Oryctolagus cuniculus: one gene and its partner. Each later gene encodes a partner of the first gene's protein in a complex. Links are inferred from orthologs where the notes say so. Each region holds a gene or a part of one and is shown on either strand. Other genes may lie near its edges.

Region 1 (3,562 bases):
AAAAGATGGCTGGCGCCGCGGCTCACTAGGCTAATCCTCCACCTTGCGGCGCCGGCACACCCGGTTCTAGTCCCGGTCGGGGTGCTGGATTCTGTCCCGGTTGCCCCTCTTCCAGGCCAGCTCTCTGCTGTGGCCAGGGAGTGCAGTGGAGGATGGCCCAAGTGCTTGAGCCCTGCACCCCATGGGAGACCAGGAGAAGTACCTGGCTCCTGCCATCGGATCAGCACGGTGCACCGGCCGCAGCGCGCCGGCCACAGCGGCCATTGGAGGGTGAACCAATGGCAAGGGAAGACCTTTCTCTCTGTCTCTCTCTCACTGTCCACTCTACCTGTCAAAAAAAAAAAAAGAAAAAGAAAAAAAAAGAAAAGAAAAAAGGCTTGCTTCACTGTTAGAAAATATTTGGTGTCCTTGGCCCCAATCCAATGACACCAGATAGTCTCTCTCACTCTCCCCACATCTCACTTATTTTGAAACACCCTCTATGACATAACTAGAATTTGAGAATCACTGTATCTACTCAGCACTTTAAACCTCTGAGTAAGAAGAACCCTTGATTTCACATGTATGATTGCGCACTCATCAGTAAAACCTTTTGACTTCAAAGTTACTGCCATTTGTTTTTCTCAAAAGGATCTCAGGCTAGCTTTCTTTTCAAAACAAGCTTAACATAAGCTACAAAAGTGCAAGCTTTTTCCAATTATGACAGGCGTGGGTCAAATGAAGTGGTTACCAAAGAGTTATTTAAGAGCCAAATGACTCAGTCGCCTAAGTTTCTTTATATGAAGAAGATGCTACCATTTTTTCAAGTATTTGAAACAGCGGGACCAAATTGGTAATATCAAAATTCATTTAACACTTATCCAACCCCTTCACAGCCAACAGTTTCTGCAAAATGAAACATTCTTATTCCTATACTATTGCTCCAATGACAGTCCTGCAGAGGAACGCTGTTAAGAAAATAAATTAAACTGACAACTTAGTTGTCCTTCCATTAGTGATCAGTTATCACACAAAGGCTTGTTTCACATTTGTGTAAACAAAACCTTCACCCACCTCACACCCTCACACACAACACTCAACAAATAACATAGTATGCGAAACGAGTATTAGTCTATATTACCAGATTAAATTTTCTTCCAGAAATATTTTAATAAAAATTTGGCCATTTCCAAGAAATACCCACTGCATGCCCATCAATAAAAGAGAACCTTAACAAAATAGAAAATTTACCATATGGCTATGATTTAAAGGAAAAAAAAATTGCAGACACTCGAGTATATCAGTGAAGTAGTGAAGTCCAATATTAAAGTCACATTCCTTCTTATGGGCTATGATTAGGAATCCGGTTAGATATCAAAATAAAACTTAATACAAATGCAGAACTATTTAGGTCAAAGGACCTCTATAGAAATATCTGTCCTCAAAGGCATTCCAGTTTGAGACTCAATTTTAGAATAAGGCATAACAAATGTTAACAGATGACAAACAAACAAGGTGTTGATAAAGGGATTCTACAATTTCCCACATACTCTTAACCTGGTAAAAACAAATCTAGAATTTTTTTTAATTTATTTTTGTTTAAACAATTGTCAAGACTGGAATCAAAGAGAAGGCACAACAGTTTTGCTCTGGTTTTTTGTTATTTGGATTTCGGGACTTTTTTTGTTTTTGTTTTCTATTTTTTTTTACAAATACAAATTAAACATGAAAAAAATTCTACTTCAAAAAAATTCTAACAGTTCAAGAAAAGCTCATCAGTTGCATACTACACATTTAAAACCTATCTCACAATTTAAGTTTTAGTGGTAGAAACAGTGTTTCAGAATTGTTTTGTGATCACATACCAAAACAAATTAACTCTATTAACACCTTTTATTCAGTTTTTAGCCATACTAGAGAAAATGAAACTTGTTAAATTTTTCAGTGGCAACTTTTCTACACCAGAAGGTCATGACTCTCATAGAACAATTGGATTTTTCTTGCCTTCAAAATGTTTATCAAATCCTGTATCTCACAGGTTTCTGGAACATGTAGAAAATAAGAATATTCCAATGAATGAAACATACCAAATGTCAGTAATAAGCAAGACACATTCCTTTGGGGAAATGGCTATTTTAAAAAAATCCAGTCTGTATATGCAAAGTGTAAGCAAGGAAATTCAGTCTTTTGTCTTTATCTTCTTTATAAATCCAATACTCCTAAAATATCATTCCACAAAATTGGAAGTGAAGGACTAAAGGGAAGAAGGAGGGAAAAGGAGCACACACCATTAACACAAGAGAAGTGAAGTTGTACAAACGTAAGCAGTTTATAACAGACTAGGTCATACTCCAAGAAAGGCTGGTTGAAGAAATTCACCACTCTGCAGGAGCTGGGGTTTGTACGGCTGTGTGATGATCAGCGATGGGTAATTCATTGCCGTGGAGCAATCCCCCTTCCCACTCCGAATCCGGGTTTCTGCACCATGCCTCCACGGGGAGGGCCTCGCATTCCACCACCCAGCCCACCTCGAGGGCCTCCAGGTCCCCGCAGGCGGTTATCGCGACGATCTCCCTCCCTAGCAGCTCGAGTCTTCTTCTCTTCCACATTCAGACGGACTTCACCTCTGAACATGATGGGCTGTAAGAAGCAAAGTGATCTGACTTCACTCAGTGTGCTTACGGGCTATCAAAACAACAAAAAAAAACACAACAAAACAAAGCAAAACAAAAAAACCAGCGGAGCCAGCACTGCGGCAGAAAGTGCTAAACTGCCGGCATCCCGTATCAGAACACAGGCTCAAGTGCCAGCAGCTCCACTTCTGATCCCTGCCAATGTACCTGGGAAGTAGCTGTGGCTGGGACCCTACAACTATGTGAGAAACCCAGATGAAGTTCTGGACTCCTGGTTTTGGCCTGGCCTGGCTTCAGCCACTGCAGCCATTTGGGGAGTAAACCAGCAGCCAGAGTATTTTCCAGTCACTCTACTTTCAAATGCACAATTCTTTGTTTTAAAAAAAGAAAAAAAGAGGGGCCGGCACTGTGGCACAGCGGTTAATGCCACCACCTGCAGTGCTGGCTTCCCATATAGGTGCCCGTTCAAGTCCCAGCTGCTCCACTTCTAATCCAGCTCTCTGCTAAGGCCTGGGAAAGCAGTAAAAGATGGCCCAACTCCTTGAGCTCCTGGCTCCTGGCTTCGGATCAGTGCAGCTCCAGCCATTGCTGCCATTTGGGGAGTGAACCTGCGGATGGAAGACCTCTCTCTGCCTCTGCCCAACTCTGCCTTTAAAATAAATAAATCTTTAAAAAATAAATAAATAAACATACTGCTTAGTCTTGGGACAAGTAACTGGGAAGTAATTTATCAGGATCTTGTCTGGTCCACTGGGTTTATTACATTCTCTAAGATTTGAATTCAAGGCCAACCTAAACATATTGGCCATAAAATGGGATACAACAAAAAGTTTACAGGAAAATGGAATTAGAAAGGTAAGAATCAGCTTACCCTGTTGCTAAGGACCTTCTGAACAGGCTCAGAATCATCAAATACAACAAAACCAAAATTGGGCAGCTTTCCACCACTG
Region 2 (4,071 bases), on another chromosome or scaffold:
AACAGTGATTCTCAAACTTTTCTGGTCATGAACCAACAAGTGAAAAAAAAGAAAAAAGTAAGATATTTTGAACGCAGCAGCTTCAAATCACAACTTAGAACGAAAGGTAACTGAAACAGAAGATTCATGAAATAAAAATACTTACTTTAAGGTAAGTACCATTCAACGATATTTTCTTTTCTGTTTCAGTCCATTCTATCATTGCATTGTTTTAATGTTTTTTAAATGCTGGTTCAGACCCAATAAAACAACTATAAGCAAAACCACAACCTAATATTGCTATTCTGTTCACTAACATGTATTAAAGATACAGTTCAACTGAGCCTGTGATTAAGCTCTGAAGTTTTATTAATTCTATTTTACATTAAGAAACCGAATCTCAGGGGCTGGCACTGTGGTGTAACAGGTTAAAACCCTGGCCTGAACCACTGGCATCCCATTTGGGTGCTAGTTTTAGCCCTGGCTGCTCCTCTTCCAATCCAGCTCTCTGCTATGGCCTGGGAAAGCAGAAGATGGTCCAAGTCCGTGGGACTCTGCATGCACATGGGAGACCCGAAGGAAGCTCTTGGCTTCGGATCAGCGCAGCTCTGGCTGTTGCGGCCATCTGGGGAGTGAACCAGCAGATGGAAGACCTCTCTCTGTGTCTCTACATCTCTCTGTAACTCTTTCAAATAAATAAAAAATAAATCTTAAAAAAAAAAAGAAACTGAATCTCAGAAAGTATAGGTGACTTGGGCTAAATGGACTCCCAAAAGTCAATGACAGATCTAAGATTCACAAGTTTTCTAACTCTGAAGTTAAGGAAACTTAAAAAACAACCCCCACCCCCCATAAAAGCCAAATTATGATATTATGATTATGATAAATCAACTCAATAAATGCATACTGAGTATTCACTATGTACCAGACACTGAAATAAGAAGGCATTTGACACAATCTTTGCCCTCCAATGCTAACTGAAGGTCATCAGATAAGACCTAACTTAGAGGTCAGAGTGTTGTGGTCAAGTCACTGCTTGGGATGCCTGCATCACATATCAAAGTGCTGGTTCAATTCCTGGCTGCTTCACTTCTAATTGAGCTTCCTAATATGCCCAGGAAGTCAGTGAAGATGGCTTAAGTACATGGGCTCCTGCCGCCCATGTGGGAGACCAGGATGGCATTGCTGGCTCCTGGCTTTGGTCTGGCCCAGCCAAGGCTGTTACAGGTATTTATGGAGTGAATCAGCAGCTAGATCTCTCTCTGCCTCTCTGCCTTCCAAATAAAATGAAAACAAATAATTTTTAAAAATACCAAAATCAGAAAAGTTAAGTGACTTAGTACACATACTTGTAAATCTAAAGTGGGTATTTTATATATTATTTATTTATTTATTTGAAAGGCAGAGTTACAGAGGCAGAGGCAGCGAGAGAAACAGGTCTTCCATCCATTGGTTCACTCCCCAAACAGCCACAGTGGCTGGTGCTGGGCCAGTTGGAAGCCAGGAACCTGGAGCTTTTTCCAGGTCTCCCACGTGGGTTCAGGGGCCCAAGAACTTGGCCAATTTTCTACTGCTTTCCCAGGACATAGCAGAGAGCTGGATTGGAAGTGGAGCAGCCAGGAGTCAAACCAGCGCACATACGGGATACTGGCATCGCAAGCGGCAGCTTTACATGCTACACCAGTGCTGGGCCCTAAAGCGGGTATTTTTTAATATAGGGGGAAATAAGCTAATTCCGCACCCACTACCACCTTCTCTTTGACCATCATTTACTCTACAGAATGAGCACTGGTAACTGTTGGCTAGAGCACACAGTGTACTCTTCTAATGGCACATTTCTTTACCATCTGAATAAAAGTTGGTATCTTTCATTCTAGTGCTTTCTGACAAGTAACCCTAAAAGTAGTCCTCAATGTGACTTCACCAATGATTGTCATCATCGTAACATCACAGTATGTTCAGAAGAATGCTCTAATGCCAATTCTTAGCTCTCTAAGTAACTGATATTTACTTTAGAAAAGTCTTTAGGATGCTTTTACTTCTGAGATATTGTCACTTAATAAAAAGAGAGGTCTAGCCCCTGAGAAACAACCAGGAAACAACAGTCCTTGATCTAAAACATTTCATAGCTACTAATCCAAAGTAGAAACCAAGTTAAAATACTGAACCTTCCTAAACCATAACTTTTACAACTGTCTCTCTAGCTTTACCTTTACACAGCCTATATTGCATTCACACCAAGCTACTTACAATTCCTTAAACAAGCCTTGTTAAGTTCCCATCTCTATGCCTTCATTAATACTATTCCTTCTATGTTGAATCCACCTTGCTTATAATTCTTCTGCTAATCCAGCTTCCTGGCTCAACTCAAAAGGTATTTCCTCCATAAAGCCTTGTCTTCTTCTTCTAACAAGTATCTCCCTCTTCTGTATATTGTACCATCTCTGCCAAAACACTGCCTACATTTTGTTTGTCATTATCCTTATTGATACTCATATTTTAATACATATTATAATATCTATTAAATAACATGACATTCTAGGAGGCAACTAGATTGTGCTTCCTATACAACAAACATACAATATACATTTCCTGAAACTGCATGGAAAATTTAGATCTAGAAAGGGAATTACCTTTTGTTCCTTTACCCAAGACAGGCGAACTTTGGCCAACCTGGACATATTCCCAGATACTCTGGAGTGAAGACTTTTCATATTGTTAAATATTTAACCTGAAGCAAGCAGTTGAGTTTTATTTTTGAAAAAAGGGGTTAACAGTACCTGTCTTAGTTACATTAACAAGATCAAACTGACAACATAGAGCAAATATTATATAAGGCTAAGTGAATATGAGATATGATCTCTATGGTCACAAATCTGTTAGAACAATCAAAGTTCTAGAATGTAAACTGCTCCTCTGTTCTAGGAAAACTGACACAACCTGAAGTATACCTCAGGAAGTGTACTGTCAAGATTACACCAACCCATGTCTCCAAAATTCACTAACTAGAGATCTTTTTAAGAGTTCTTAGTAAAGCTCTTCTAAACTTGAAGTTTTTCCTTCTTGTGGCAAATCTTAAGCCAGAAATATAAATTCAAGATTCAAGTACTGTCTTAAATATAGATGAAGTTCCAATTTTTTAAAAATATAAACACCTACCTAGCAACACAATCCTAAGAATATACATCTGCTTCTTATTTTGCCCATTTGCCTGCTCAAATCACTCACCCAATTATCTCCTTTTGGCCCTTCATTAATAGAATTGGATTTTTCTAGTCTAAAATCTAGAGAAGTATCTCCTATACTTTCCTTTCTCCAAAATGTAGCCTTCTCCCTTTTTATAAATATATTTCTTCCCATATAAGCATAGTCTAAAACTAAGAAAATACCTTCTAAGAGCTTGTATACCACACACAAAACCTACACACATAAACCTGCAAAACCTTTTATGATTTTTGGTGAAGCTTTGAAATACATAGACTCATGTGGAAAGAGAAAAGTCCTGTTATCTATTTCATAATAAAAGTTGTTTGCTTTTTTTTTTTTTTTTTAAAGAAATGAAAGTACAGGGCCTGGAAAACAGCAGTCATGGGATCAGATTAACTTACAACCCTTTCCCATAGGTGAGTTATTCATTTATTTAGAGGCAGAGAGAGAGAGCGAGTGAGCGAGCTCCTATCCACTGGTTTACTGTCCAAATGTCCACAATGGCCCAGACTGGGCGGGGGCTAGAGCCAGAAGCTGGAAACATAATCCAGGTAGCCCCTGTGGGTGATAGGAGTCCAACTACTTGAGCCATCACCACCACCTCTCAGGTTCCGCAGTGGTGGGAAACTAGAGTCAAGAGCTGGAGCTGAGAGATGAACCCAGGCACTCTAATGTGGGATGCAGATGTTGTACCTGCTAGGCTGAACACCTACTTCCTCTAAGGATTAAATTGAAGAAAAGAAGTAACTCCCACTCACATCCTTTCCATGACTGTATATGAAGTGAAATTCAAAATCTGTGACAGTAAACGATGTTCTAAGATTGTGTTTTCAGTTTAAGTCTTGAACCCCTTCAGGAATAAATTCTTTTTATTTCTCCATTCTT

The links. Proteins that work in one complex are often made in the same cells at the same time.
Region 2: G3BP1 (region 1) and ELAVL4 share a complex: the UniProt entries of both Homo sapiens proteins name them as parts of the TAU mRNP complex. The link is inferred for Oryctolagus cuniculus from reciprocal best matches to the Homo sapiens genes G3BP1 and ELAVL4.

The regions. Positions count from the first base shown.
Region 1 is NC_091437.1:38,784,738-38,788,299, reverse strand, and holds part of G3BP1 (ras GTPase-activating protein-binding protein 1), read right to left. Parts: coding exon 3,484-3,562; intron 2,620-3,483; coding exon 2,413-2,619; 3' UTR 1-2,412. UniProt on the Homo sapiens protein: Protein involved in various processes, such as stress granule formation and innate immunity. Plays an essential role in stress granule formation.
Region 2 is NC_091438.1:122,750,285-122,754,355, forward strand, and holds the start of ELAVL4 (ELAV-like protein 4), read right to left. Parts: upstream 2,860-4,071; 5' UTR 2,694-2,859; coding exon 2,613-2,693; intron 1-2,612. UniProt on the Homo sapiens protein: RNA-binding protein that is involved in the post-transcriptional regulation of mRNAs. Plays a role in the regulation of mRNA stability, alternative splicing and translation.